4 linked regions of the Diceros bicornis minor genome follow. Each later gene encodes a partner of the first gene's protein in a complex. Links are inferred from orthologs where the notes say so. Each region holds a gene or a part of one and is shown in the gene's direction. Other genes may lie near its edges.

Region 1 (6,287 bases):
TAGACCTAAGTAAATAGAAATATATACTACGTGCATAAATGAGAAAACTCAACATAGTTAAGATGACAATTCTCCCCAAATAAATCTATAAAGTCAATGTAATTACAATTAAAATTGAAGCAGGGTCTTTGTGCTATTTGCAAGCTGACCTTATCAAATGGGAAGTTTTTTTGTTGCCTTTGAGGGTCATTTGGAGGAATGCAGAAAGCACTATTCAGAGATTTACTTAGGTTTTAAAAGTTAACATTTAATTTATTAGTTATAAATTGAAAAGATGCCTTTTTCTTTAAGCTTTTAACTTCAGCTAAAAATCCTAAACTCTAAGTCTAGCAAGTTTTTGTTTGTTTGTTTTTTTTTTTGGTGAGGAAGATCAGCCCTGAGCTAACATCAGTGCTAATCCTCCTCTTTTTTTTTTGCTGAGGAAGACCGGCTCTGAGCTAAAATCTATTGCCAATCCTCCTCCTTTTTTTTCCCCCAAAGCCCCAGTAGATAGTTGTATATCATAGTTGCACATCCTTCTAGTTGCTGTATGTGGGACGCGGCCTCAGCATGGCCGGAGAAGCGGTGCATCAGTGCGAGCCCGGGATCGAACCCGGGCCGCCAGCAGCGGAGCGCGCACACTTAACCGCTACGCCAAGGGGCCGGCCCTAAGTCTAGCAAATTTTCACAATCGCTTTTAAGGGGCCTTTGGATAAAATTTAGTTCAACTCCAAATTTTAACTCTCAAACATTTTAAGCCATACTCATGAATGTAATGTAATACATTTCATTTCCTTGTAAAGACTGTAATTGTCTGATTTAACAAATAAAACCTTTCACGTACTTAAATTATTTTCACAAATCTAATTAATTAAATTTACAAATGTGTAAAATGAAACAAGTTCCCTTATATACTCCACATCACTGTATAAAACGGTTATAGCTGAATTGTGTCCTGTACGCGCCCCCCCCCCCCAAATTCATATGTTCAAGTCCTATGCCCCAGTAGCTCAGAATGCGACTATATTTGGAGATAGGACCTATAAAGAGGTAATTAAGGTAAGATGAGGTCGTATGGGTGGACTCTAATCCAATATGACTGGTGTGTTTATAAGAAGAGGAGATTAGGACACAGACACGCAGAAGGAAAAGCATGTGAAGCCACGGAGAGAAGATGGCCATCAGCAAGCCTCGGAGAGAGGTCTCAGAATGAAACCGACTCTGTCATCACCTTGATCTTGTCCTTCCAGCCTCCAGAACTGTGAGGAAATAAATTTCTATTGTTTAAGCCCCCCAGTCTATAGTACTTTATTTTGGCAGCCCTAGCAAACTAATACACCTTGGCTCTTAATTAATACATGTAAATGTATTTTCCATCTCTAAAGACCTTTGAATTTGAGGAATTCTCTCATATCCTCAGAATCACTCTTAATGATACAGAAACAATATTAATTTTCACGGCTTTGTTTGACTATTCAATCACAATTTCCGTGAGGATTTTAGTGACAATTCTAAATTCATGTGGAAGAGGAAAGGATCAAGTTAAAACATGTATGAAAGAAAAATATTGTATAGGCTTTCACCCTGTTGGGTATCAAGACTTATTACAAAGGTACAGTAATTAAGATCTTGTGTTACTAGTGTAGGTCACAGACTAAGAGGCTAATAGAACAGGATCCCAGAAACAGACCTATGCATATACAACAGAAGCACTAAAGATGAGTAGGGAAAGGATGTACTATTTAACAAACGACTGGTTATCACTAGGAACTAACCAGCCATACAGGAAAGTATCAAAAAACCTGATCCCGAAAGCAAAACAAAACAAAAACTTCCAGGTGGATTAAAGTTCTAAATATGAAAAACCAAAATTCTAAAACTTTCAGAAGAAAATGAAGGAAACTACTTTCTATGGCTGGCCCCAGGGTAGAAAAGAGTTTTGCTTGATTTCATTTTTCAAACCAAATGCAAAAAGCACAAACCATCAAGGAAAGCTGATACATGTGACTGCTTTAAACTTAACTTCTGTACAACAAAAGATAACACAAAGGAAGGTTAAAGATGAGCCACAGAGTGGAAAAAAATATATTCATTGCGTATAACTGGCAAGCCTCGTATCCTGAACATATAAAGATCTAAAAAATTAGTAAGAAAAAGACAAACACCCCAATAAGAAAATAGGCAAAGGATATGAATATGCATTTCACAAAAGCAGAAATTAATAGGCCAATAAACACATAAAAAACATGCCCAGTATCCCTAGTAAGCAGTGATATGCAAATTAAAGGCACAATCAAATTCCATTCCACCCTTCGGATTTGAAAAATGTTTAAATGTCTGAGGTCACCAAGTTTTGGGAAGGATGTCGATCAAAAGGAATTCTTAGTTTGCTGGTGGGACAGCTAATTGGTTATAACCGATGTTGGAGAGCAATTTGGCACTATCTAGCAAAGCTTGAAGACATTCATTCCTATGTCTCAACAACTTTATTCCTATATATATGCGCTAAAGAAACTCCTTCACGTGTGTAAGAACATATGTACAAGAATATTCAATTAAGCATTGCTTCTTATAGCAAAAACGTGAAATTAAATGTCCATTATAGAGAGAATGGAGATGTTATGGTATATTAATTCAGTAGCATCCTGCACAATAGTAAAAGTTAACTAAAGCTACATATATCAACATGGATACTGACTATGATAAAATGCAACTTACATAACATACATACCGGGTATCATTTATATAAAGCTTTAAAATATGCATAACAATAATACTTACTGTTGATGGATACACAAACTTTCAGCATTCAAAAAAAAAAAGAGGCTCAGGAATGATTAACTGTAAATTCAAGATAGTACCCTGAAGTGAACAGATTAGGGAGGGGAACACAGAGAACTTCAAGTTTATTTGTATAGTCTTATTTCTTAAAAAAACACAGCCAAAACAAAAGAACAAAGATGGAAACAAAAGTGGCAAAATGGCAAGGTTTGATATATCTAGATGGTGAGTCCACGAGTATGCCTTATAATAGTCTCTACATTTTAGGAATGACATGTTTGTTATAACAAAGGTTAAACCAAAGAATAAAACGTTTGTTTTTTTTTCATTTTTGGTACAAGCATTTGATCCTATAAGGAACATTTTGTCGTTTTCTTTAATTTCTTTTAAATAAAAATTGCATATATTTAAGGTGTACAACATGATGATTTGATATAGTGAAAGGATTACTACATGGGCCAGCCCCGTGGCTTAGTGGTTAAGTGCGCACGCTCCGCTACTGCTGGCCCAGGTTCAGATCCTGGGCGCGCACCTACGGACGGCTTCTCCGGCCATGCTGAGACCACGTCCCACATACAGCAACTGGAAGGGTGTGCAACTATGACATACAGCTATCTACTGGGGTTTTGGGGAAAAAATAAATAAAATTATTTAAAAAAAAAGGATTACTACAGTCAAGCTAATTAACATATCCATTGCCTCACATAGTTACCTTCTTGTGTGTGTATGTGGTGAGAGCACCTGAAATCTACGTTCTAAAGAAATTTCCAGTATTCAACATAGCATTAACTATAGTCATCGTGCTATTTGGTCTCTAGACTTAGCCATCCTACATAACTGCAACTTTGTACCACAATAAAAAATATTTTAAAGTTGTCTTTCTCCCAATAACGAGTTTCTTCTATTTGGCTCTAATACAGCTGTTTATCCGTTCATCAAACGTTTTTTAAGAACGTAATCTCTGCCAGGCTATGAGGATACCCTAAACAGATACCATCAAAGAAGCATACGAGAAAAGATGCCACCAAAAAAGTCAACTCCTTTCCTCAAGCAGTCTGCGTTCGCGTGAGGAAGTCCTTAAACCAAAAATTAGGATATAAAGCGGTAATAACGAAGCGTCCAAGATGCAAAGAGGAAGGAGAATTTACACGTGTGGAGTGGCCAAAGCCAATTTCAAGGAGATGCTTTCGAGCTGACTTCAAGGGAAGAGTGTTTGCCAAGGGAACAAAGACATTCCAAGCAGAGGGAACAGCTTGTACCAAGAACGGGAGAGGCGAGCAGCACGGAACACGGAGAAGCGCAGGTGGGGGCGTGTAGGGCGAGGTGGGGAGTCAGAGGGAGGGTGTCAAAATAAGGAAGGGGGACCCCGATGTGAGGGCCAGAACGCGTCGTAACGGGTCACCGGGCGGGAAACGGCGGCCCTGCTAGCGCTGAATTGACTTGCACTCCACACAACTTCTAAACAACACAGCTGGGACCAGAACCCGCGTCTCCTGATTTCACCTGGTCGTGAAGGGGCTACCGTGCTGTCACGTTAGCTCCAAAAGCAGAATTACACCAAGACTTCATCTTCCCAGTCGCTTGTAGCCCTGTCCTACTTGAATGTCCTACTTCCTCGCAGCCCCAAACCGCCCAAAGATGCTCCCCGCCACCAAGACACCACCCTCCATCAGACCGCCCACAGCCTCCTAAACCAAGGCGATGGGTCCCAAAAGCCCGCGCGCACGAACCCTGGGAGACTACAAGTCCCAGCATGCAAAGCTCCCGGTTAGGAAAAGCGCCGCTAAATGGACCATCATGCAACGCTCTACGAAGGGGGCGGGCTCTCTGTAGGGGCGGCCCGACTTGTAGCGTCGCCTAGGCAACTCCAATCCGGGACGGAATACGCTTCCGCTTCCGCCTCTGAGCCCTAGGACCGCGAGTCCCCGCGGCTCCGTCGTTGTGACGCCATTCGCCTGCGACGGCGCAGTCCTAGAGGTCCGGTGGGGTGTTCATTTTCCGGCGTGAAACGCTAGAGCAGCCATTGCCCGCCGCGGTTTCTGCCTGGGATCCAGCGGGAAGGCGGCGAGATGACGGACCGCTACACCATCCACAGCCAGCTGGAGCACCTGCAGTCCAAGTACATCGGCACGGGCCACGCCGACACCACCAAGTGGGAGTGGCTGGTGAACCAGCACCGCGACTCCTACTGCTCTTACATGGGCCACTTCGACCTTCTCAACTACTTCGCCATTGCGGAGAACGAGAGCAAAGCGCGAGTCCGCTTCAACCTGATGGAGAAGATGCTGCAGCCCTGCGGGCCGCCGGCCGACAAGCCCGAGGAGAACTGAGACCCCGCCGGGTCCCCGCCGGGCGGAGCGTGGCTCCCCGCGTCCCTCCCGTGTGCCGTGGCTCCCCGCGTTCCCGCCCCGGGGCGACCGGTTCTCCGTGGCTGCTGCTCCCCGTGCTTTCCCGGTGCAGAGGCGCTCACCCGCGGCGTCTCGCCCGACCTGCCTTCCTCTGGACGCCTCGGAACAGGGCGTTGGGCGACCGTCAGGACCCCTGGGGACCGCGACCCTGGAGAGATCCCAACGCCAGCCAGCGTTAAGGGGACACGGCACTGCAGCGAGACGGCGTTCGGAGGCTCGTTTTTGGCCGGTTGATTGTCGTTGTTGCCTTTTCCATAAAGTTTAGAAGTTTTTCGGTCTCTTGGTGTGGACTACTTGTGATCGGGTGGAGGGGTCCAGGGAGGGTTTTGGGGACTGTGGTTTCGTGAGAGGGTGGGGTGGGGGTGGGGGTGGGCGCGGGGCCAGGGTACATTGCCAGGCGCTTAAATCCGCCCTGGACAACTTTTATCATATGCCCCCCACCCGCCGACTTCTCCCAAGAGCCTTTTTCAGTCCGGTAGTGCTTTCAGTATTGAGGTTTGTGATCATTGCATCACACCTTTTTGTTCTCTTGTTCAAAAAATCTTTACGGTCATTGCCCTCTACTCTCTCTGTAAATTGCATCCTCTCTACTCTTGGGACTCTCTGGGCGTGTGTTGAGAAATAACAAGCTGTCAAACGAGTTTTCTCATTCATTCAACATTCAACAAATACTTGTCGAGCTCTATGTGGCAGGCATTTTTCCACACTTTGGGGGTTTACATTATACTGGCGGTGGGGGGAGGGGAGGGGGGGCACACAAACTGTAGATGTAAATAAGCAAATGTTAGAAGGTGCTGTGGAGGATGGGAGTAGCGGCAGAGTTGCAATTTTAGATAAGATGCTCATGTTAGACCGTTGAGATGGTGACATTTGAGCAAAGGCCTTAAGGAAGTGAGGGAAGTAGCCATGCAGAAAAGTGGGGAAATTGCTTTCCAGGCAGAAGGAACTGCCAGGGCGATGGTCCTAAAGCTGGGCTTGTGTCTGGCTTATTGGAGGAACAGCAAAGAGGCAAATATGTGGAGAGGTTGAGCAAGGAGAAGAGCAGAGGGACAGGTGATGGAGGGGGAGTGGATGAGAGTAGAGCCTGGTAGGCCAATGTCAGGACTTGTGGCTCTTACC
Region 2 (8,569 bases), on another chromosome or scaffold:
CTCTTTACTGGCTGAGTAAAACCTTCCAGCAGCATTTTAAAGATCAGTTACTCTGTTGCAAGGCAGAGCTGCCTGACCCTCCACCTGCAGATACCCCTCTGAACAACCTGGCTGTGATGGGACGGCTCCCTGGTGCTGGGAGCAGGCAGGTGTCTGAAATTAGTGTGACCTTGTTCACCGGGTGTAGTGTGAAGAAGGAAGACGACAGAGTCTAGCTTTTCAATTAAAAATGGTATTTTTCCTCCCAGCGTGTGTATCCGACTCTGAGCTGTGCGTAGGTGTATGGTTGGGTTTGTGTTGTTTGTGAATTGTGCTGAAATCTTAGGAGTGAGGGATCCTGATAAGTAAAAGACAAACTGATTTTCTTCAACGTACAAACATTAACGTCATTGGGCTTTCTAAATAAAGTGAAGCCTCAGTAGGTATAGAAAGACATATTTGCATACGTCAGTGGGTAGTAAGGGAGGCTGAATAGGAGGGAAGGTAAAATAAACAAGATGACACTTACAACTCTGATTTGTTTCCATCACATCTATGATGCTTATTTCTCATATACTCCTGTGAGTTGCATAAAACTGTGTTTGTGTTTATTATGTGGTGTAAATCTAGAGATTATACTTGCATATGAAAAGGGGATCAAAGAGAGATAAAACATCTCTTCTGTCGCTTTCTTGAAAAACAAAATCCTAAAAAATAAACCTTCACAGGTTTTTTGACTGCCCTTTTCCATTAATCTCTATTCCACTAAAACTAAAGCTGTGCATTGCAAGGCAAGTGTTTTGGGGTCAGCGAGTATAAAGTACAATACTGAGTAAGGATCTGGGGCAGGGGGCTTGCCTTACTGGGTCAACACTTACTGACTTAATGTGGTTCTACTTACAACCAGCATTGATTGATAATTGGGCAAAGTTATCTTTCACAAATATTGTGAATAACTTGCCTTATTCACAGGCAGAATAAGTGGCCACGTTTACCGCGTCATTTGAGGGCTCCAGGGAAGGACCTGTGTTGAAAAATGTGCAAGCCTACCAGTGTCTGAAATTTTTCCTCTAAGGAAATTCCTTTCTTTCTGGTAAGCAGTGCCCTCTTTCTAAAAAGTGCAGAAGTACCACAGGAAATCCCTAACACCTGGGTGCACAGTTGTTATCAGATCATCTTTCTGCTTGACTTCATTAAACTTGATGGGTGCCTAAAACCTGTAAGAGTATGACCTAATTAGTCTCTGCCCTTGGAAATCAGATGGAAGGTTCTGATTTTCTCTCCTCTGCTCCTACTTGCTAATGCTATAAGCTTGTTCATAACTGTTATTTCAAATAATTTTTGTCAATAGACATAGATTCAGATTTGTGGTTTCAGAAAATGTTTTCTTGTGGCAAATTAAAGCATATGTTTGGCACTATAGGTAGTTAAATTTGTATTTTCAAAAACTTGATTTTGGGGTGTGCTTTTGGTAGTTTCGAGCTTTCTTTAAATGGCTTGTGTAGTTGTGAACTTTTGCTAATCATGTGGCTCAAAAAGGGGATATATATTAACACTAGACTTTACATTTCTGTAAAATCAGTTTAGTCAAAGTGGGGGGGTGTTAGTATTGTATTTGTATTGTTTTAAGTTGGACATTGTAATAAGGGGGGAAATAAATAAATGTGAAATAAAGTTTTAAATGACTATGTAATTTTATATTCTAAAAACAATACTTCCAACAGAAGATAACTGAGAACCCATTTAACTCGAAAATTTAAGTGATTTTCAAGTCACCAAACTCCAAAATATTTGACTGTTTTCCTCACTCTGGGTAAAAATTACATCTTTACTCTCCTAAGCATAACAGTTTAGAAATAACTTGATTAAAGTACCAGATTACAAAAGCCAAGAGAGCCTTTTAGCAGTTGATAAAGCTAGAGCTCAAAGAACTTTCATTTTCTTCATGCTCAGTAATCCCTACGTGACTTAGGGATCTGACATAAAATAATTCTCTAAATGATCTTATAGGGCATCAGCCTCCCATCCAGAGTTGGGGAATTAAGATTAAAATTCATGGCTTTGATTGGATTTTTTTGGAGGGAGTGGTCTCTTTTTTTAACAGATTATCCTTGTCAGAACTAACCATACAAGTAGGCCCCAATATTCACAATTTCTTTCACCTTGCCTATTGTGGTGCCAGAAATGTTACTCTGGAAGATTTCATTTCTTTGGAGATGGTCCTAAATGGGTGGAGAGGTGGGACACATGAAAAACAAATTTTGTATACTTCTCAACTTTGCTCGGGGTCTGCCATGACCCAAGACTTAGAATGATGGACCATAATAATATGCTACCAAGCAGGAAAACAAAGCCACAAAACATACTTAGGCACAACCATAACGTTCGATGGGCAAGTCTTCGTCACTGAAGCTGAAAGCACTACAAAATATTTAACACTGGCATACCTAGTGAAAATAGCAAATTTGGGTTTAAAGAATTTCTGCAGTTATAACCATCTTAAGTCAGGGATCCATCAATCATTTTGTCAAACAGAGTTACTTTTATTTCCACTAAGTCTTGAGATTACAGAAAGTGGGGACAGGAAAATTCCCGAACAGAGTAAGCTTGAATGGGCCATTAAAAAAAAATCTAGTTTGGTATAGCTCAGTAGTTTTCCAGAAAGAGTTCCTACGCCAGGTAGGTGACTTCTCTGACCAAGAGATCTCTGCTTTGTAGGTTATTATATTTTTATCCACTAAGAAGGCCTTGGCCTATTAGATCAGGAGTACAGCACAGATCACCCCTTACAGAGGTCAAAGAGAGAAGGATGAAGGAGATACTCAGAGAGAAGCCGCTGTCCAGGTTCTGAGACTGGTTCGGCTTCCTGGGTCCAGCAGCCCCTCATGTGGCCCATCTACAGTCCAGGCCTGGAATTTCAGGAGCTACTCTCTATCTTCATAATAATAAAGCTCCCTCGTTTTTGCTTGTTACCTTGAGTGTTTCTGTGACTTGCAAAAAAGCTCTCTGTCTTATGAAGACAGAGATACTTCCAGATTTCCTCAGTTACTAGGGAGTTAATTCTATGACTATACAGGGAAATAACAACAAACAGGAACCAGCCCTCATAGAGACAACAGCATTGTTTAAAAAAAAAAAAAAAACTGTCAGGTCTCGTGGCCAAAGAGAACGCCATTGTAGGTACAAGTGTGCTTAGCTCCCAATTCCACTGCTGCACTATGATGGTGACTCAGTGACCCTGTCACTGCCTCAGCTTCTGCTCTCACCACTGGGGAACTTCTCCACAGCAGGCCTCTGTTCTGCTTATTACCCTCCCTGTGTGGCCCTCCCCTGCTTCTGTGCTACTCTGACCATGTCCCTGTCCTTCCATATTCATTCCTCTCCTGGGGAGACGCTCTTATTGGCTCAGTCAGTTAAATTTTGTCTAGAAAGCACGGCTACCCTGCCAGGTCCCCTCACACACCTCTGGACAGCCTTTGGGTCAGGGTGGCTGGGCCCCATGGGACGTAGGCATAAGGAACCTTTTTGGCCACCTGCTCAGAGGGGCCCGTGGATATAGCAGGCATTCAGAGTGTCACGTGCAGTAGGGCTGTATAGCATATTATCACCTATGCTGTGATCTCACTCAGGAATAAAATGGGAGCCCAACAACACATTGCTGAAAACAGCTGTATGCTATTTCTGGAGCCAAGAAGAAATATTCAGCAATGCTTAAATGAACCTAACAAAACTGATGTTATCTATATTATAAAAATGCATGCAAGTGCAGTTCTCCAAAAGTCTCCACCAAAACAAGAACTCCATGAAAAAGAAATGTAATTAAAAAAAAAAAACCTAAACTCAAGCTACTACTTAAAAATCGTTGTTATGGTTAAAACTATATTCACACAGCTAGTATTTGGGGAGTTAGGATTTTCTAGAACCCATACTCAATCGCTATGTTTAGAAGCAAAGGTCACTAGAAGAGTAAAAAGAACTTCTTCTGGGAAGCTTTTCCCCACCCTCAAGTATGCATTATGAAATTTATGTTTACACATAATGAGTTTATTGTTAGTTTTAAAGGAATTAATATTCTTTTAAATAGCTGTTTTAATTTTAGTGTGACAAATATTGATAAGAATGATTCACATAAACAAAATCTCTTTGAGGTCTTAAATAATTTTTTGAGTGTAAAGGGGTACCAACACCAAAAGGTTTGGGAACCGCTGTTCTCCAGCGTCCAGTTCTTCTATCCTATCATGTCCCAGACAACCTAAGTGTGTAACCCCCGAGCTGTGCCTGTCTTGCTGACTGCTGGCTCGCCAGAGCCTACTACAGTGCCTGGTACCTAGTAGGAACCCAATAAATGCCTGCCCGATTAAAAAATACAGACCTCTTCATTTTCAGCAATATGTATAACTCCCGGGGAAAAAGTTCTGTTTAGAGGAAAAGCATTCCGTGTCTTTCCAACAGAAAGACAAAAAATGAAGTTAGTCGGCCAGCAAAGCTGGTGTTTATACTTGGATGTTTACATTTAAGTTTCAGGTTTGCAGCTTGAGCATCTCTGAATCATGGAGCATGAGAGGTAGGCAACTGCTGCCCTCCCTCCCTTTCCACAGAGTCCATCTCCAGCCTGAAGAAGGTACCGGAGAGAAAAAGGAGGGGATGAGGCTTGGAAAAGAAGGTTGGTTCTTCTACCCATCGTTCCTTCGTTCATTCCTTCACTCACTCATTCAGTACGCGCTAGACCCCAGACCCTGTGCTAGGAACTGAGGCTACCAAGACGCAGAAGAGCCGGCGCCTATCCTAGAGAAACTATAAAGAAACAAGTAAAAGACTCGTTTCCCACGCGGAGGAGGGGCCTCTGGGCGAAGGAGGCGCGTCTTTTTCTCAGCAAGACAAACCTGTCCTGTCCGCCCCATCCACTCCCCCAAGATGGCGGCCGCCCGAAGCGCGCCGCGGCGCCTGCCCAGTGGGAACATTCCCACGCCTTCGGGCTACCGGCCCGGCTCGGCCCTGCCCGCCGCGGACCCGGCGGAGCCCGAGGTGCCGGAGGTACCGCTGCCCCCTGAGGCGGCCCGGGCGGCCATTATCACGCGGCACCCCCGGCGCCCCGCCCTCTGGCCCCCGCACCTCTTGCCCGCGTCGGCGCCTGTTGACGCCACGGTGGGCGTGTCGGCGCGACCCGCGACGTCGCGACGCGCCTACAATGGCGACTGCGTCAGCCTGAGCGGGCCTCCGTTTTCAAGTAATTTCCTGACGTTGCCGCGGGAGCCGCAGTCGCCTCAGACCCGGGCGGCGGCGGCGGCGGCGGCGCGCGGGCGCGCAGCGTTCGCGCCCTGGATCGAGCGGCGGCGCCGAGGCCCGGCGGAGTGAGCCAGGTGGGCGGCGGCGCGGCCGGGCTGGGAGCATCGACGCGCGCGCGGCGGGCGGAGCGGGGGGCGGCGCGGCCGCGGAGCGGCCCCGATTTCCCGGGGGCTGCTGGGGCGCCGCGGGGAGGCGGGCCGGGGGACTGCGGGGCGCGGGCCGAGCGCAGCCGACCGCCTTTTCTCTGTGCCTCTCCAGCGTCATTTCGGCCTCTTCGCTCGCCTGGACCCTGCCCTCGGGCTAAGTCGGCAACATGAGCGGCAACAACTTGGATGGCAACGAGGAGTTTGATGAGCAGTTGCGAATGCAAGAGTTGTACGGAGACACCAAGGACGACAACACCCAGAAAGATCCCGGCGGGGAACCCGATTCTTTCGGGCAGCAGCCGGCTGACACCCCCTACGAATGGGACCTGGACAAGAAGGCTTGGTTCCCCAAGGTAAGAGAGTGGCACGGGCGCCACTGCAGAGCGGGCCCGCCTGGCCAGCCTCGCGGGGCGCTCCTTTGACGTTTTCTTTGCTGAGGTCCTAGGTTAGAGCCCGCATGGATAGTGACGTTTGTTTTGTTGTGTCTGTTGCAGAACCGATGTGTAAAGGAAGCTAAATCTTTAGGAAGATGTCTTAAATGTATTTAATTCTTAAATCTTTTCTATGCCTTATTAATATTACCTGTGAAGGTCACAGTTGGTTATTACATTGGTAACTGCTTTTTGTTGCAAAGAGGAGAAACACCAAGCTCAAATTTAGTAGCTCAACTCATTTATCCTAGGAATGCAGATGTTTAGCTTATATACTATGTGCAAAATGCAGCTTCTTGATTGGGAAAAAAAGAGTAGTCATTTAGAAATCTTTACTGATTGAACTTTGCACCTCTCTTTACTTTCCTATTAAATTTTGTCCTTAGACACAAATGTTTGAACCATATAACCATAGGAATATGAGTAGAAGTGCACAGAGTATGGATGGAAAAATCTGTGTATATTTATTTAGAGTACTTGGACATTGTTAATTATTTTGGTTCAGCTTGGAAGTAAAATAACTGGTGTTAAACTTGGTTCTGTGAACTTTTCAGTAGAAGTATCCTGGTAACCAGCCTCTTAGGGTTGGACACGAGGATAACCATAGCACACTAATTGACTTGCAAACCAGCAATACAACCGTGTCTCCATTGTGTAATTTGACTGTTATTTAAAAGATTATTTCAACTTCTCTCTTTCTCATTTTGTATTTGTGTATATATTCCCTTCCCTCCAAATTGTTAAATTTTTTATTTCGCTTCTGTCCTGGTAGTGCCAGCTCCAGTGCAGACTTGGTTTCTTCAGCCTTCTGAGTAGTTTTAACAACAGTCTGGTAATGGACTAGTTTGTGACTCTATGTTTTTAAGTTATGAAAGCCCATACCTCTTCAAACTTTGAGTTTAAAATTTTCCCCATTCCTATGTATGTTTAACATTGATCAGTATGAAGATATAACTGCATTTCTTTCATTGTGCAATTGTGCTTTTTTTACCTAAAAGCCAGGAGGATAGATGTGCGTTGGGTTTGTACTTAATTTGTTCTGACACTAAATGATAATGTGATTTAATTAGTGATAGAGTTAGAATAAGCATTTCGTTTTACAATTGTTAGCTCTGTTCTTCATATACCAAATCACAGTTCAGTTCTGTGTCTTCTTTGCATACAGATATTTAAAAATTTAGTGTACATGTACTTTTGTGCATCTATATAGTAAAAGAAAAATTGATTCTGTTAGATTATTACTTGACTATTGCTTTTTATTTTTATTGTTACCTGATAGTTGCTTTGTTCCACGTACTTGTAGCCTTAGTCAGCTAGACTGTAGAGAGGTAGTAATTTATAAATGAAACAACTAGAAAGGTGCCAACATCACTTAAAATGCTTTAGTAGTATCTCAGACTTTTCTTTTGATAATCCAAGTACCCATTTCTTATTTTTTATCATTTTATGCACAGTTTTCTATATAAGGTGACTATTCTTGCATTTACACTTTAATTACGATAACTATTATCTACAGAAGCACTTCTGTGTTAACTTGTATAACTGAATGTGCTGTAATTTAACACAGCATAAACTTTTTATGGGAGGGAATTATTTTTTAATTTCTGTATGTGTGTGGACTAAATTTCTTGTTTAGATCACTGAAGATTTCATTGCTACGTATCAGGCCAATTACGGCTTTTCTAATGATGGCGCGTCTAGCTCTACTGCAGATGTACAAGATGTCGGCACTAGGACTGTAGAGGAACCTCCGCAGAGACAGACCCCTGAACCCAGTGATCCCAAAAAGAGGGGAGAAAAGAGAAAGGCCGAATCAGGCAAGTGGATTTAGCTTGCAAAACATGAGTGTAACAATTAAAAATTGTGAGAGTATGTATATATAATTACTTTTTGGATAATTATAATAGCTTTGAAGGAATCGTAAGATGAGGATTTTTTAAGTTATTATTTGGGTTTATATGTTGGCTCTCACACTAATTTGTGAGTATTAGGTAGGCTGTTTCACTTCTATGCCTCAGTTTCTTCCTTTGCAAAATAGAACTATTATTAGGGGATTATCAAAAATTCTGTTTGTAAGATTATTTTTTTGTGTTTAATTAAATTGAACTCAAGTCAATCTTGTTTCATCTTGGCCATGTCTGACACAGTAGATTGGAGTCAGAAGCAACCTATGCATGCCAGGGCCTAAAGTCAGTGCAAGGATGAGTTTTTGTTTTTTTTTTTAAGTTAGTATCAGAATCATAAAGAACCAAGATAAGTTAGCCATCTTTTTTCAGACAAGGCTCTGAAACTATCTGTAAAAAGATCCAAATCTTTGAAAGCTGGACTGTGATTTGAGTTAGTCTGTCTTGTTCTAAAGGTAAGGAAAAGTTCCTGGAAGTTTTGAGAAACTGCCACGTTGTCAAGGTTTCATATTATGACTCTTACCTTTTCTTGCATGTGTTTTATTTATTTCATTTTGATTTTTAGGATGGTTTCATGTTGAAGAAGGGAGAAATACAAATGTATACGTGTCGGGTACGTATACCTTTTTAAACAAATTTAGAATAGAAAATATTTGATGAGATTTTTTGTGAAGTGATTTTGTTTTCAGTTTCTCTAAATCTATTTTTTATCATCGTGCCAATATTTTTAGCTGTTTTAATTAGCAGGGAATATGTTTGTTATTTATTACAAAACTAAGAAAAGTTATGTGTATGTAATTTTGCATGACATCATTTTTGTCTG
Region 3 (8,268 bases), on another chromosome or scaffold:
AGAAAAACGAGGAGGATTGGCAATAGACGTTAGCCCAGGGTTGGTCTTCCTCAGCAAAAAGAGGAGGATTGGCATGGATGTTAGCACAAGGCTGATCTTCCTCACAAAAGAAAAAAAAAAACACGTAACCAAGGATCATTTCTTATTTGATTTTGTGTTCCCAGTGCCTAGTGTACAGCAGGTACCCAAAGTTTTCTTGAATGAGTGAACAGAGCCTTATAATGTGCCAAACACAGGTAGAGAAAAAGGAAGAAAGCATTCCAGTCTAAAGAATGTAGGAGAAGGGGGTCCAGCCCGGTGGCATAGTGGTTAAGTTCACACACTCCACTTCAGCAACCCAGGGTTCGTGGGTTCAGATCCCAGGCACAGACCTACACACTGCTCATCAAGCCCTGCTGTGGCTCCATCCCATACACAAAACAGAGGAAGACTGGCACAGATGTTACCTTAGGGACAATCTTCCCAAGCAAAAAGAAGAACATTGGCAACAAATGTTAGCTCAGGGCCAATCTTCCTTAAAAAAAAAAAAAAAAGAATGTAGGAGAAGAAACTGAGTTCCTCACAATATGCTGGATGGGTCAGAAGATGGGAGACTATCAAATGCCAAATTAGTGGCCCAATCTTCCTTCTTCCCACCAAATTTCTGGAGTGACTATCTTAGACAGATGCTTCTTCCTTTTTTAAACTCCAGTCATGGATCTGTTGAGAAAATGGTCAAAAGCAGGAAAGAGAAAGAATAGTAAAAAGAAAGGAAAAACACAAAACATGGACTCATAAAATGTGAAAGTTGAAAGGAATTATGGAGATCATTCAGCCTATTACTCCTATTTAACTGAAAATGAGCTAATAGAGGTCAGCTTGACAAAGGCTGCCCACAGTTAGCCACGTTTGTACTAGACCCCAACACCTGTTCTTACGCTACTACCCCACACTGTTCTTTCAGTCAATAATCCCTAAGGTCCTTTCCAAGCTCTCTAACAATAATAGCTAATATATGAATGCTTCCTATTTGCCATGTATTAACCTAAAAGCTTTACTTGTATTAACTAATTTAATTCCCTTTTTGACCACCCTAAGAGATAGGCAATTATCGTTGTCATTTTACAGATGAAGAAACTAAGACACGAGAGAGGCTAAGTAACTTGCTCAAGATTACAAAACTATCAATGATGGAGACAGGATTCAAATCCTATTTACAAACATTTTTTCTTCCTTTTCTAGATTATGAAATTCTTCCAAGCATGCCGTTGTCTTGCACATCATATCCTTCAAATCTCTAGAGCCTAGCACAGTGCAAAGCACATAGACATTTCTGTCTACTGAAATACTGAAGTACTTAATTTTACCCTACTTTAAACTACCAATTCAGCACATTTATTGATGTTTATATGTCAGGCACTTCATAAACCTCCTTCAATCCTTAAAGCAACTCTACAAAGTAAGTATCCCTGTTTTACAGGAATGAAGTAACTAGTACAAAACTCATAGCTAGAAAGAGACAAATCTTAGGCCATTCCAAGGGCCACACACACTTGCCACTAAACCACCCTTTTCAACACAGTTCCTGTCCTCAAACACTTCCTAGTTTGGTAGAGATAATGGTGACCAATTACAATGCAGTATGATCAGTGCTAAAACAGCAGCTAGGTTCAAAGTACTAAGAAAACAAGAGGAAAAGAAGGGCCTAGGGGAAGCAGGGAAGTTTAAAAGGTAACAACTGAGTGGGCCTTTAAGGATAAATGGAAGTCCTCTGGCAGAGAATACTGTTCTTTGACCTCATTAGAACCCTGATCTATTGACTTCTATTTTCTTCTAATCCATCAGCCCTCTCCTTTTACCTCAACTTTTCTCTCTTTCCAGCTTAGATTCCACAGTCTATCATTCAAACAACACCCTGAGTTCCCCCTAACTCTCTGTCATTACGGCTCACCTATCTGGCAGTACCCCCACCAGCTGCAGACACCAGGACCCATTCTAGCTAGGTTAAGCAGAAAAGGATTTATTGCCAGGTATCGGCTTACAAAACTACTGGAAGGGCTATAGGAAGTTCTGGTAGAACTTCCAGGAACAACTCCTAACCCAAAAAATAACACAGTCTTTGTCACAATCAAGAAAGTTATGGCTATCATTGCAGAAAGTCACTAAACCAGAAAGCTGCTGACTAAAGAAACTCACTGCCTCTACCATAATATTTGCCAGCAAAACTGGATGCCTCTCACACTCCTTCTCTCCACATTTAACTCAGTTCCAAATTCAATTCTCATCTTAGGTGCAAAGGAGCCAGGAAATAGTTTTTAGCACCCCAGACTTTTCTGTAAGAGAAGGCACATTAAAGGTGGGAATGTGTGTTGAGCAAGCCAAACCCACGGTCCTTGCCATATCTGCATATGTTTTCTCCATGTCTGCATTGAGCCTGATGTTGCTGGAAATAAAATATGATCCCCAACTTCATATGGGCCCATAACTCTGCACGACAATTCTACATCTCTCTGGTAAACCCATTCTCCCACACACTCTACAATGATTTTCAAATCTTCTGCAACCTTCTCAAATCTCTGACTTCCTCTCACTCTAAGTATATGATCCTATCTCCTACTTTACAGAGAAAATAAAAACCATGAGAAAGGAACTCATTTTACCAAAACCAAACATAAGAACAACCTATATCTACTGCCTTCACTTCCTTCTTCCTTTCTGTTAAATGGAGGACTGTCCATCTTCCCAAGGCTGCTCCCTCTAACTGTACTTTGCATCCCATCCATTCCCATGTTCTCAGAACACTATCAATGACCGAATTTGTCTCTTGTGTATTCAATTTCTCCATCGCCCTCTCAAGTGGATTCCTGGTGACCCCTCATCTCCTTCGGCTTCCACATCCTCTCCTCTCATTTACAATCATATGTATGAAAAACACTCTTTAGATTCACTGCCTCCGATCCCTTGCCTGAATCTTTGGCTTCTGGCCCCATCACACCAACAAAATAACTCTCGCTAAGGATACCATGAGCTCCACGATGATACAGCCAACACACATTCTTCAATTCTCGTGTTTTTTAAATTCCAGTTTCTGACACTGGCCATTTCCTTGTTTCTGAGACAACATTCCTCTGGTGCTCCTCTCTAGCTCTTTTTTCTCTTCTTCTCCTGTAGGTTCATCCTCCTGTTCTTGGACATTAAATGCTGGAACTACTCAAGCTTCTGACTTAGGGGATCTTACCCACACCTATCGCTCAATTATCACCTATATGCAAATTACTCCCAAATATATATCTCCAACAAAAATCTCTCTTCTGAGTTGCAAAGCCATATTTCAAATTGCCTCCTGAAGTCATGAATGACCTCTCCCTTCTCTACCAATGAAATAAATACTCTGTTGCATAAGCCAAAAACCTAAGAGTTATCTGTGATTCCTCTCTTTTCACTCCCTGAATCCAAGCCATCGCCAAGTCCTACTGACCCTACCTCCCATATATCTCTAGAATCTGTCCAATTCTCTGCAGTTTCACCAATACTTCAGTCTACACCGCCAACAACGCTCACTTAAAGGGTCTATCTGCATCTATCTCTCTTCAGATCTGTTCACACTACTGAGCCTGAGGGATTAAGTTACCTCCTCCACACACTCCCTCCCCCTCAAAAAACTACCCTCAGTGGTTTCCCATCAGTCTTCAAATAAAAGCTACAAAGTCCTGCAAGGTCTGCCCTCTACCGGCCTCCAGCTTCATCTTGGACCATACTTCCCTTCATTCTCTTTGCACTGGCCACACTGGCCTCTTTGTGCCTTTGAGGCATTTTCCTCCCATTTGCCACAGGGCCTCTGCACATGCTGTTCTATATGGAATATTCTGCCTTCCTCTCTTCACCCAACTAATTAGAATTCTTTCTTCAGGCATCAGTTCAGGCATCTTCTCCTCAGACAAGCCTTTCTGCTTATTTCAGGCCCTCATAACCTCAGGCACCTCTCCTAGACGGCACTTATTTCACATTTCTCAGGGAGATCATTGTTTAACATCTGTTTTCCCCACCAGACTCGAACCGCTGAAGTCAGGGATCACATATCCTCAATGCTTTGCCAAATAAATATCAATTGGACGATTAAGGAGAAGATCTATTTCACAGGTATAAGTCCAAATTTCTCAACAAGACTGCTCTGGAGAAGCAAGAGTCGGACTTTTCCTCCGTCCCTGTCTCTCTCAGGGACACAGAGCAGGCCCTAGGAGAGGCTGCAGAATCAGTGGCAGAAACAAGTCGGCCTCCTCACTCAGAGAGGATCCAGGCCGTTTCTCCCCGGGGGCCTCCGGCACCGGACTGGACACAGTAGCCGCCTGCTGAAGGAGTCCGGCGTCGAGGTGCCCAGGCAGCCGCAGCGACCCCCAAGGCTCTGCTCCAGCACAGAAAGGAAACCAGGCTACTACCCCCCAGAGCCAGGACCTTGGGGCCCGCCTCCGCCCCTCGCAATCAAAACTTCAGCTGAGAATGGGCAGGCTCAGACCATATCACCGAGGCGCCGCCTCCAGATTCCGCAGCCACCCACCCCGACATTCCTCCTACTTACTCTCCGTCAGCTGCAGGTCCCCCGGCCGCAGCATTGCGCGAAACGCCGCAACCCAGTCAGCGCGGTTCCACCCACAAGACACAGCGCGCCTAGGCGGGACTGCAGTTCCATCCACCAATCCTGGAATCGTACTCTCGTGACATCAGAGACAGCTAACCAATAACAGGAGACTATCCAGGGGGCGGTGCAGAGGGGAATATTGGAAGTCGATTGGTTCCTCCAAGCCGGAAGTTCTAGGGGAAGGACTAAGTCGGAGCCAATCGCGCGGTGCCTGAGGGTGTCGGCGCGGTCAGTGGCTGCGCTAAGGAGAGCGGTTGCCGCCATGATAGAACAGCAGAAGCGCAAGGGTCCAGAGTTGCCGCTGGTCCCGGTCAAGCGGCAGCGGCATGAGTTGCTGTTGGGAGCCGCGGGGTCGGGCCCCGGAGCGGGGCAGCAGCAGGCGGCGCCCGGAGCTTTGTTGCAAGCGGTGAGTGAAGTGGCAGGCGGCCTTCCGCCCTCGGCTCATCCTTCTCTCTCCTCGGAGCGTTGCGCCGGGTGATCTCGCGGCGGCCCTTTCTCCGCGCTGTGGGGGCGGAAGGAGACTCGGTATCTGGAGTTAAAGCCGAAAACGTTGTAAAAGCGGCCGACACCCTGCAGATGCTCCTCACGTTTCCCCGTTTGACGCCGGTTTTCGGCGTCTCGACCGCCCTGTGAGGTGGCGTTAGAATTAGAGTTAAGGATCTTGAGCTCAAAACCGGCGTTAGCATCCTAAATCTTCCAGGATCCGGCGTAAACATTCAGAAAAGTTTGTAGAATGGATGGAGGAAGGAAGGAAAGAAGGAAATGAGTGATACTGGATCGCTTTGGGACTTTGGGCAAGTTGCTTTTCCCTTTATTTCTGTGCACTAGTATTAACAACTGAATAATAGCTAACCTTCATTGAGCCCTTGTACCAAGTGCTTTATATGTGAAAACTCCTTTAACCTTGGTAACAGCTTAAGAGTTAGGAACCATTATTATCCCATTTTGTAGCTGGGAAAACAAACTCTTATCTAGTAAGTGATAGAAACAGATTTTAAGCCCAGAATCCATGCGCTTAACTGCATTTCTTGTAGGTTAGAGATAATGATCACATCTTTCCTTCCGTGCTGTTAGGCTCGGATGAAGAAATACATGTGTGTCCCCCCTCTCTCAACTCCTCAACCAGCCGGTCGGCAAATCCTGTTTGGTGTTGTCCTCAAAATATATACAGAATTGCTGTGGCCTCCATCACTAACTTGTGGTCTAAGCTATTATTATCTCATTATTATTATTATATACTATTATGTTGTTATCTGATTATTGCTGTAGAGTCCTAACTGGTATTCCTGTTTCTGCTATTATGTAATCAGTCTATTCTCAATCCAGCAGCCAGAGGAGTTCTTCTAAACTGGCAGATCATGTTACTCTCTGCTGAAAACTTTCAGTGGCTTTCCACTTCACTCCGAGTACAACTAGAATCCTTACAGTCTTTTGCCGGCTTTGCCTTTACGTCTCTGATCTACCAATTTTCCATTGCTCACCCTGCTCCAGTGACACTGGCTTCCGTGCTCCTGCCTCACAGCCTTTGCATTTGCTGCTCCCTCTACTTGAATACTCTTCTTCCAAATGTGTGCATGGTTTACACACATCTCCAAATTTTTGCTCACATATCCCTCTTTCAGTGAGGACTGTCCTTACCAGCGTATTTTAAATTGCAATACCTAGTACTCACTAACCCACATTGCTGCTTTTTCTGTTGTACCACCATCTGTAGGTTCTAGTTGTTCTCTCTGTCCCTCCCTCCTTCCCACTAGAACACAAACTCCATTGTTTATTTTGTTCACTGCTGTTTTCCCAGTGCCTAGAACAGTGCTTGGCACGTAGTATTTTTCTTAATAAATGAGTAAGCTGGAAATTACTGAAGAGATTTGGGGATTATTGATAGTGTACTTATTCTTCCACTGACAAGTAAGAATATCAGCCCAGGTTTCGGTGAATTGCCCAAGAGTAGGCTTATGTTGAGACCATAATCAAAACTACTTTCCCCAATAATCTGTACCTTGCAGGGTTGTTGGGAAGCTCAGTTCAATCATTCATTCTTTAATTGAACTAGAGACTGGGAAAACAGTGTTGAATGACCCAGGCAGGGGCCCTGCACTCACAGAGCTTCTTTTCTAGTAGGGAATAAAGACAAAATATGTAAACAAATACATAAGGAGGGTAATTTCAGGTAGTAATAAGTGCTGTGAGGGAATACAGTAGGGTTCATGGACTAGAGGGGCAGTGGGGCACTGCTTGAGTTTGAATGATCCAGGAAAGACTTTCTGAAGAGGAAACATTTGAAAGGAGCCAAACACAGGAAGATCTAGGGGAAGAGGATTCCTGTCAGGGGCAACAAAAGTGTAAAGATCCTGAGGCAGAAATGAGCTTAACATGTTTGAGCAATTAAAAGTTGGCTATGGGACAGGAGCAGAGTGAGGAAGGAGGAGTGTTAGTATAACAGGTAGACCCTGGAAACCTCAGCAGGAGAGTATCAAATTGGAGGTGTAAGTTATGTGAGAAGAGCTGTCATTCTCTAAATCAGAAGAAATTCGTTCACTCATTGTTTCCCTTGTCTTTTTCCTCCACCCACCCCCGCCTCCACAATTGTGCAGCCTCCTTGGTCTGTATGCAGTGACTACCCTGTACCTCTCTCTTTTGTGTAGGGCCCTCCAAGATGTTCCTCCCTTCAAGCCCCAATCATGCTTCTCTCAGGACATGAAGGGGAAGTGTACTGCTGCAAGTTTCACCCCAATGGATCCACCTTAGCATCTGCAGGATTTGACCGACTAATATGTAAGGCATAGTTTTTGAATCTGGAGTGATCGCTCTCTTCCCGATAGTGATTATTTTTAAAACCTTCAGTGCCACAGAAGGTATCAGTCTGAGTTGGTCACATGACAAACTACAGCTAACATGCTAAAATAGGATCAAGAAAATGCTGAATAATCTTGGGTGTAGAACTTGGGGGTCCATGTGGTAAATACAGAAGGAATTACGTTACTAGTTAGAAGGTGAGTTGCTGTAGTTTGAGACTATCTTCCTCATGGAGGCAAATCTTGAGCTGATTTTGCAAGATAAGAGATCCATGTTTAACAGGTTAATGGGAGTAATAGAGAACTTTTTCCCAAAGGTATGAGGCTCTCCTCCTGATCCACTTTCAGAATCTTAGCATATAGGAAGGAAGGAAGGGATCCTAAAGTGACAACTCGCTTGGATAATCTACCTATACATCATTAGGATCTGCTACCAAATTCTCAGCTACTAGTCGGGAATACCCGTTTTTGAGGAATAGGTAGAAAAAATCAGTTTGGGGAGTCATTAGGAAAAGCAAGAGAGAAGATAACAGAAACATCTGACTTTTTGCCTTCTGGCATCGTTTGCCACATTGTGAGATGAATTGAGTCCTTTGGCTCTGCTTATAACTCTGTACCTCAAGGTGGATGATATCTGTCTTCAGTGTTTTGATTTAGATGTTCTAGTTCTGTAATCCTTAAATTTACTGGTCGGCCGAGTATCTGGAAGGCTTAGGGATCTTTGCAGAACATCCTTGAATTACTGATATGCTTAATTTCATCAAACAAACTAGAAACAGTTTTATCAGCAGAAAAATAACTACATATGTACCTTCTCCTGTGTGAAGGTGCTCCTTAATAATACTCACCAAACTTCAC
Region 4 (8,123 bases), on another chromosome or scaffold:
ATACAAGAAAGTCATCATGTATCATTTAGTTGTGTAATTTCTCTCACAGTTCTTCACAGGATAGTCCAACTGCTCTGGCAGACAAAATCTTTCCACTGAGAACAGTGTGATACAGCAGAAAGAGCCCTAGGTTTGCAGCCAAAAGTCCTAAGTTACTATGTCAGCTATAACAGTGTGAGCTGAGGTCACAAGAGTGAAGGCGACCAACCCTCCAGGTGCTTTCCAAGGGGCTTCCTCAGAGTCAGTGATGTCTAATCCAGATCAACTCAGGTCATACGAAGAAACATTTAAAACCAGAGGTTAAATAAAGAAATATGAAATACACTCTGAAATATCAAAAAAGAGAATTCCACCAACACACTGGAAAAAGGAAAAATCAACTTTATTAAACAGGAAAAATACTTCAATTATTCATTTGGTCAAAATGTAGTAACCAGCTCCATCAAGTCATAACACATGTTTAGTGGGATTTAGTAAACTTTGCAGACTAATGTCCTCAGTCCATTTTTATGTCAACAATTTTTCACTTGAACCACAGAGCCCCTGGGCACTCAGGTAGAGAGGAGGAACAAACAGACTGGAGAGAAAGGAGTCTCTTTTCCAGGAGATTAATCAACAAATGATTGACTGCCCGCTTTTGCCCGAACCTGTGTGTAGGGCTTTGCCTGCTCAGCAATAACCTACGTGCCCTATTACAATCCTGTGTCCTCCTGGCCCCATCCTGGGCAGGACGCCAACCAGCTGGGATGGCCTGGCCAACCCAGATCTCACTCAAAGAACATCATGTCTTGAAGGAACACAGAGCCCTTCCACGTGAGCTGCTGTTCCAGGGAACGCTGGCTGCACCAAGGGCAGTCTCTCTTGGCAAGCACATAGACTTTGTCCCCTGCCTATATAAACAACCCCTCTCTGCCCACAGTAGCAGGTGCACAACTCTGTCCAGCCAGCTGCCCCTGGACACTCCCTATACATAAGTCCCAATAAACCTATATGTCTCGTACGCCGTCTCCAGGTCTTTTCTCTGGTCTCTTCACTACCTATTTCACACTCCTTGCATAACTGGGTGTGTGGCCAGACACTGTGGTACCTGGCCAGGTCTGAGGCCTGGGTTATCTCTTGCTAACACAAAGGAAATGACAAATCTATACCCGGCCATTTCTGGATGGCGATTTAGGTTCATTTGTTTGCATTCAGCATGGATACAAATCCTTTCCCCCGTTAGCAATTAGAGCAAGCAGTGAGCCCAGAGTACAGACAAAGTAACCGACCTAAAGCAGTGGTTCTCAACTGAGGGTGATTTTGATCCCCAGGAGACATTTAGCAACGTCTGGAGATATTTTTGGTTGTCACTACTGGGCGGAGGGGTGCTACTGGCATCTAGTGGACAGAGGTCAAGGATGCTGCTAATTATCTTACAATACCCAGGACAGGCCCCCACAACAAAAAATTATCCAGCCTAAAATGTCAACCGTGCCAAAGTGACGAAATCCTGAGTTAAAGGATCTACTGCGTACCTAATCCTGAAACAAAGGCTTGGATAAACAAAAGAAGACAATACTTGAAACACAGAACAGAGTGTAACAAGTGAGATGTGTCACATAAACAGCACTGAAGTTCTGAAAAGGAGACAAATGTGGGCAAGAGAGAATCTGAAAGCTATGTGGAGGAGGTAGGATTACGCTCAGTTTTTAACAGCATGGAATAAGGAAAAATGTTTTGGGGAAGAATAGTGTGAGTAAGAGTACAGAAGTGGAAGAGAGCTGGGTGAGAAGTGAGAAGGCTAGTCTGAATGACACAGAGTGAGTTCTAGACAAGATGGCAAATTAACAGCATGCAAATGGTACCAGCCTGAGAGTGCCAGTTTCCTTATGTGTACAGAAATGACCTAGACACCTAAGGTCCCTTTCATCACCAACATCTATGATTCTAGAAGAGTGAGTCTCAACTCTTTTGTGCATCCAAGTAGCCTGAAGATATTTTAAAAATTACAGATGCCTGAAGCCCACTTCCCAAGATTCTGATTCAGTAGGTCTACAGAAGGGCCAGAATATCTGTATTTTTCAAAGCTTCAAGGTAAGTCTCACACAGGCCAGAAAACCATTGTTCTGACCCTCTTACCATTACAGCACTATGTGTATTATGTACTCAATACTTTAGCCCAAATAATTCAACCTACTAACTCCCAACTCGTGACTTTCTGCTTTAATAATTATCTATGCCCTCTAAACCAATAATTCTGAGAACCTAAATAACCAGAAGTGAAAACAATGTTTTATAAACAAAGATATGCTATTTTTTACTTTTTATTTACTTATTTATTTCTTTTGGTGAGAAAGATTGTCTCTGCAGTAACACCCGTGCCAATCTTCCTCTACTTTGTATGTGGGATGCCACCACAGCATGGCTTGATGAGCAGCATGTAGGTCTGCACCCAGGATCCGAACCCATGAACCGCGGGCCTCCGAAGCAGAGCATGCAAACTTAACCACTACACCACCAGCCAGCCCTATTTTTAACTTTTTATTAAAATGTAACTACAGTATCACTTTTAATGTCTAAAAATTGAATACAACATATATGTTTAATCACAGTGAACAATTCAACAAATTATGGCAAATTGATGATAGAATACTAATTAACCACTAAAAATGATGATTACCTTTAACTGTATATGCGTGTGTGTGTAGGACTTCATTTCGTTAAAAATAAAGATTAGAAACAAAACTGGAAGATGTGGCCCAAACTGCTAATATTAGTTACCTCTAGGTTTGGGGATTATGGGTAACTTTTATTTTCTTGTTTATAATTTTCTTTGTTTTCTAAATTTTCTATGAAACATATGTATTAATTTTATAATTGGGGAGAAAAGTTGGCCTATTCTGCTGATGTAGGCTGGATAGAAAAAACAATTCATTCCAAGGCAGAAAAGATTTAAGTTTCAAAAGAGATCCATGAATTAATTCTTATGAATAACTTTTTTTTTTTAAAGATTTTATTTATTTATTTTTTCCCCCCAAAGCCCCAGTAGATAGTTGTATGTCATAGCTGCATATCCTTCTAGTTGCTGTATGTGGGACGCAGCCTCAGCATGGCCGGAGAAGCGGTGTGTCGGTGTGCGCCCGGGATCCGAACCAGGGCCGCCAGGAGCGGAGCGCGTACACTTAACCGCTAAGCCATGGGGCCGGCCCTTATGAATAACTATTAAAGGGTCAAAATTTAAAAGAAAGATCAAGACCACTAAATTCTTAAATAGTGATGAATGTAACAGAGCATCCACATCTTAAGATCAAGTTATTAGAGTTGCTGTAAAGAAGTATTCCTATAAACTCATTAGGTGGGGAGTCTATTCCTATAAACTGGTTAGGTGGGGATTTGAAGGCATGTTGAAAATCTCCATCAAAGCCCAGAGCACGGGGCAGGGTCCACCTGAGACTTGCTGCCACTAACTAACTCGTTTCCAGCCATGAAGGAAGCTCATCAGGGCCAAAAGATCGTCTACTTTATGGTAAAAGAAATAACGGAAGGATCTGCTGAATTTGGTATGCTCTAAAAGGAGGGAGGGGGGGCGCAATAATCTAGAAAAATAGTTATGGGGAAGTAGCTAACGTGGAAAGGTTGGATACTTGAAATTACTGCAAACTCTTAAATATTTCCTGCATGGATTAGCCAGTGGTGGATACCATGCATCCAGGATTTCCGAGGATTTCCAATATTCTATCCTTTTGTCCCCATAAGCACACTCAAACTCGTACACTAGGTGCCTCTAGTTTTAATTATGAAAATAGGCTGATGTTACTCCACCAGTGGTTAGAGGTATGAACCACCACCACCACAACGTCCACCAGGGCGACTGACAGCAGAGGTTCAAGTATACCTAATTACATACATCCAAATATGCATAATCCCACTGCACATTCCTGGCACCCCTCGGAGGTGTTCTGAGTGTTGGAGACACAGAGAAGAACCTTCATTTTATTAACCTATCCCGCTCACGGGACACCGTGCTTAGTCCCTGTTAACCTACAGGGGCTCCGCGAACATATTTGCACACCACTCCCCCCCGGGGGCCCGGACCACAGCAGTGCAGGCACCTGGAAATCGCTGCCGGGGAAAACATTTAAAACAAAAACAAAAACGACTTCTCAAGAGCTTTTCCAACCTGGAGTGAGGATATCTGAAGGCAGAGGTAGAATATTAGGATGTTTGAAAGCCCAGTTTCACCGAGTGAAAAGACCTGGAATGAGGCAAGGTAACGCGAAGACCCGGGGCTGCACTGGACATGGAGAGGGCTGCAGACACTGCCCAGACCGGCCCTGCCCTCGAGGGGCCCTCCGACTGGCTTCTGAAAGCTCGGCGGCGCCGGGAAGGCAGCCCGCGGCCGCGGCCGGGAGAGGCCTGAGCGGCCGCCGCGTCCCTGCAAGACCTCGGCCCCGTCCGACCCCAGACTGCCGACTAGGTGCCCCGAGTCGGGGCTGGGAACCTCGTCTGGGGCCGCCGCGTTACCTGCAGCAGGTGCAGCTGGGCCACGAGGCGCCGCGGCAAGTGGAGGAAGCAGTCGCGAGCGTTGGTGAAGGCCACGGTCACGGCCACTCCGCCTCCCCCCGCAACCGCCAGGCGATCGCTGCCCCACATCGTCAGCAAGCCCGGAGGCCCCGGCCGCCCACGCCAGCTGACGCCGGACGCCCGGGCAGGCCGAGCGCCTCGGAGCCGGAGGCGGCCGATCGCCCCGCCCCCTGTGCCCGCGGCGCCTCTCGCCGCGCTCCGCTAGGGGGACGGCCAAGCAAGCCTTGTGCCGCTCTGCGCGCCTCTCCGCCGCGCCGCTGGGGGCGGCACCTCTTGCACCGAGTCCTCGCTCGCAGGAAACGATGGCCCCCCGCTGTCGATTTCTAGCCAATCCCGGCACGCCTTGACCTATCCCTCTCTCTTATTGGATACACGGCAGTGCGGCGAGGCGGATGTTGTCGTCTTTGCAAGAGCCCAAACCGGCAAGATGGCGTCGAGTGGTCGGGAGCTTGGGGGCGTATTCGACCACCACGTCCAGCGGGCCGTATGCGACACAAGGGCCAAGTATCGGGAGGGGCGACGGCCTCGCGCTGTCAAGGTAAAGTGATTTTGGTTTCCTTCGCTGTCCTCGGTAACTTTATGTGAGCTCTAGCTCCACAAGCCTAGTTTACGTAAATAAAAGCTTGAAAGGCTGCGGTCATATCCGTCACTCATTGGAGATGGGTATGAGTAACACTGGTACTCAGGTACCGAAGATTCTCACGACCCTTTTGGTCAGCTGCTAGAACGTCAGCTCCGCGAGAACGGGCCTTTATTTTAGTCACTGTATCTTCCATGTTTACAGTAGTACTTGGCATACGGCAAGTGAATATTTGTTAATTCTTTCCAGTAACTTCTACGGAGCCCACTTCTGGAATACATGTCGAAGGAATATTGTCTGTGCTTTAGTTAGAGGCCCTCACACGTGGGCTGAATTATTCTTTATGCAGAGAGAGGGGCAGAATTTTTGATTTGTTTCCTGCAGACCGACTGAACAGAGTATTTGTTGTTTTCAAAGCTTTTTTAAAAAACAGCAGATTTGTCCTAGGCTTATTTAGAAAATACGTTTAATGTGTCTGCGTTTCTTTTAGGTATATACAGTCAATTTGGAATCTCGATACTTATTAATACAAGGAGTTCCTGCAGTGGGAGCGATGAAGGAATTAGTTGAGCGATTTGCTCTATATGGTGCAATTGAACAGTATAATGCTCTAGATGAATATCCAGCAGAAGACTTTACAGAAGTTTATCTTATTAAATTTATGAATTTACAAAGTGCAAGGTAATATGCCAGTTAAGCAGTGTCTCATTTCCTCTATTTCCATTGCTATCATTTTGGCCCAAGGTTTCTTTTATTCATACCTGAATTACCCAATAACCTAACATGGCCCTGTTGTATTATCTTCCTCCTTTCTTCTTGAATGTTAGCCTTGTCAAAACTATTTCCATCATGTCATTCCCATGCATAGCAGTTTTCTGTCGTGTAGTGTGTAGATTAAAAATTGGGTTTGGAGTAAGTTTTCCAGTTCCCCTACTTACTAACATCATGACCTTGGACAAGTTAATTCCTTTAAGCCTGTTTTTCCTATTCTCTAAAATCTATGTGGTAAAAGGGCCTACTTACTGAGGTTGTGTGGAGATGAAATGAGATAATCCCTATAAAAGGCTTAGCATAGTGCCTCCTGTTTAGAACGCAATAAACATTAGCTATTGAGGTTCTTATTGTTATGTGCCTATGAGGATGGACCCCATCTTTTCCAGCCTTCTGTGTAACATGAACTCTCTGTTCCAACAAGGCTGAAGTATGAAATGCATTGTCTGTTTTTAGGTATACCTCTATTGTTGTCACTGATTTGCTCCAACACCCATCCTTCCCTGGCTATTACAATTAATATTTTCTTTTCTGTGCTACAAATAGCAGTTGTAGTCTGCCACAAAAACACTTGATGGGATCATGTATTGTTCTCAGGTTGCTCTTATATGTAATCTCACTGCCCTAACCAGCTTGCCAGCTCCTCATGGTTAAGGAATTACCTTTTCTTTGTATCTCCTGCAGCACCTAGTACAGTATGCTGTGGAGTTCAACATTGGGATTTGAATCCTAGGTCCATAAACTAATGTGAGTGTGGCCAAGTTATAAATCTCCCCAGTCCTCAGTTGTATTATAGGGTTGTTGTGAAGTGTTGATTCAAGTGAAGCACTTAGGACACTGCTTGGTGCATGGTAAAATCTCTGTAAGTATTTCTTTTCGTTATCCCTGGGCATATAAGTACTTAAGTATTTATTATAGTAGTGCCTGGCCAGTCGTAGTTGTTTAATAAGTGTTTGTTGAATGAATACTATTCTCTCATTTTCTCGTTGATTAGTTATATATTCAATATTTCCTCAATTATTGAAAGCTTTACAATTACAGTATTTTAATTAATTTTTTATATATGAATCCCTTTATAGGAATACATTGTGCTGAAAAGGCTAAATTGGGTATGAGCTAACTCTGAAGGGCCATTTAACTTAACACAGAGAAGATTTCTATTTCATGATCACAGACTGTGTACCTCCGGCTAACTGCTGGATCCTGAGCTGGTTAAAAGGAGTCTGGATATGTGTGGATGACTTAGCTCAAAACCTGTTAACACTATTGGGAGAGGGCAGGGAAGGCTCTAAGAGTATACACTGAATCAGTAGGGTCAATACCATCCATAAGCAGAGCCTCTTAATCCCCAAACCATGGGATGTACATACACATAGCAAAAGCTGGACTTTGGTCTTTAGATCAATGCATTGTATACTAGTTAAGCTTTCATCCTAAGTAAATCTAGATTAATCAGCCATGCTATCATGTACTTCTGTTTAGGATAGCCAAGAGGAAAATGGATGAACAGAGTTTCTTTGGTGGATTGCTTCATGTGTGTTACGCTCCAGAATTTGAGACTGTTGAAGAAACTAGAAAAAAATTACAAGAAAGAAAGGCTTATGTAGCAAGAACTACTAACAATAAAGGTATGGAAAGCCTGTTACTAAACACCTCCTATGTGTCAGGGCCTCTGCTAGGTATATCATCATGGAGCTCTCAGTCTAGTGGGAAGAGAGGCAAGTAAATGATCACAATATTCAATAACTGTAAACTACAGAGTTCTGTGCAGCAGTCTGCAGAACCTGGGCTGGGAAGAGAGAGAGGCTGCTTGGTGGAAGACTTCCTACAGGACGAAAGAGGTGGCTGAGTTTTGAAGGATAGGGAGATATTACCCAGAAGGGGAGAGGAAGAGATGGAAAGGTTGGCCAGGTAGCATGTTTAAAGGCCCAGAAGAATAAGTGAGCATCATACATTTTAAGGAACTCTGAGTAGTACAGGGTAACCACAACACAGGGGCTTCAGTGAGAGAGAAGATTAGAAAGCCAGACAGGAAGTGAATCATAAAGGGCCTTGTGTCCCGTACTAAGGAATTAAGGCTTTGACCTAAAGCCAGTGAGAAACAATTATGATTTGTAGACCAGTTACCAACTGCTAATCTAAAACTGCTAAAAGTGGAAAAATTCCACTTTTGACCAGCAGCTGGCCAGATGCCCCATATGCCCAACTG

What was found.
Region 2: SF3B5 (region 1) and HTATSF1 share a complex: the UniProt entries of both Homo sapiens proteins name them as parts of the 17S U2 SnRNP complex. The link is inferred for Diceros bicornis minor from reciprocal best matches to the Homo sapiens genes SF3B5 and HTATSF1.
Region 3: SF3B5 (region 1) and SNRNP40 share a complex: the UniProt entries of both Homo sapiens proteins name them as parts of the minor spliceosome. The link is inferred for Diceros bicornis minor from reciprocal best matches to the Homo sapiens genes SF3B5 and SNRNP40.
Region 4: SF3B5 (region 1) and RBM48 share a complex: the UniProt entries of both Homo sapiens proteins name them as parts of the minor spliceosome. The link is inferred for Diceros bicornis minor from reciprocal best matches to the Homo sapiens genes SF3B5 and RBM48.

What each region holds. Positions count from the first base shown.
Region 1 is NC_080778.1:23,304,973-23,311,259, reverse strand, and holds SF3B5 (splicing factor 3B subunit 5), read left to right. Parts: upstream 1-4,751; 5' UTR 4,752-4,829; coding exon 4,830-5,090; 3' UTR 5,091-5,446; downstream 5,447-6,287. UniProt on the Homo sapiens protein: Component of the 17S U2 SnRNP complex of the spliceosome, a large ribonucleoprotein complex that removes introns from transcribed pre-mRNAs.
Region 2 is NC_080781.1:124,127,533-124,136,101, forward strand, and holds the start of HTATSF1 (HIV Tat-specific factor 1), read left to right. Parts: upstream 1-5,156; 5' UTR 5,157-5,339; intron 5,340-5,523; 5' UTR 5,524-5,578; coding exon 5,579-5,764; intron 5,765-7,478; coding exon 7,479-7,659; intron 7,660-8,311; coding exon 8,312-8,359; intron 8,360-8,569. Other genes in the region: BRS3 (bombesin receptor subtype-3), read left to right, coding at 1-215. UniProt on the Homo sapiens protein: Component of the 17S U2 SnRNP complex of the spliceosome, a large ribonucleoprotein complex that removes introns from transcribed pre-mRNAs.
Region 3 is NC_080752.1:46,266,473-46,274,740, reverse strand, and holds the start of SNRNP40 (U5 small nuclear ribonucleoprotein 40 kDa protein), read left to right. Parts: upstream 1-4,862; 5' UTR 4,863-4,877; coding exon 4,878-5,021; intron 5,022-7,260; coding exon 7,261-7,390; intron 7,391-8,268. UniProt on the Homo sapiens protein: Required for pre-mRNA splicing as component of the activated spliceosome. Component of the U5 small nuclear ribonucleoprotein (snRNP) complex and the U4/U6-U5 tri-snRNP complex, building blocks of the spliceosome.
Region 4 is NC_080742.1:29,966,841-29,974,963, forward strand, and holds the start of RBM48 (RNA-binding protein 48), read left to right. Parts: upstream 1-4,864; 5' UTR 4,865-4,990; coding exon 4,991-5,101; intron 5,102-5,633; coding exon 5,634-5,824; intron 5,825-6,587; exon of another isoform or gene 6,588-6,762; coding exon of another isoform or gene 6,763-6,776; intron 6,777-7,396; coding exon 7,397-7,542; intron 7,543-8,123. Other genes in the region: peroxisomal ATPase PEX1, read right to left, coding at 4,160-4,234, 4,504-4,632. UniProt on the Homo sapiens protein: As a component of the minor spliceosome, involved in the splicing of U12-type introns in pre-mRNAs.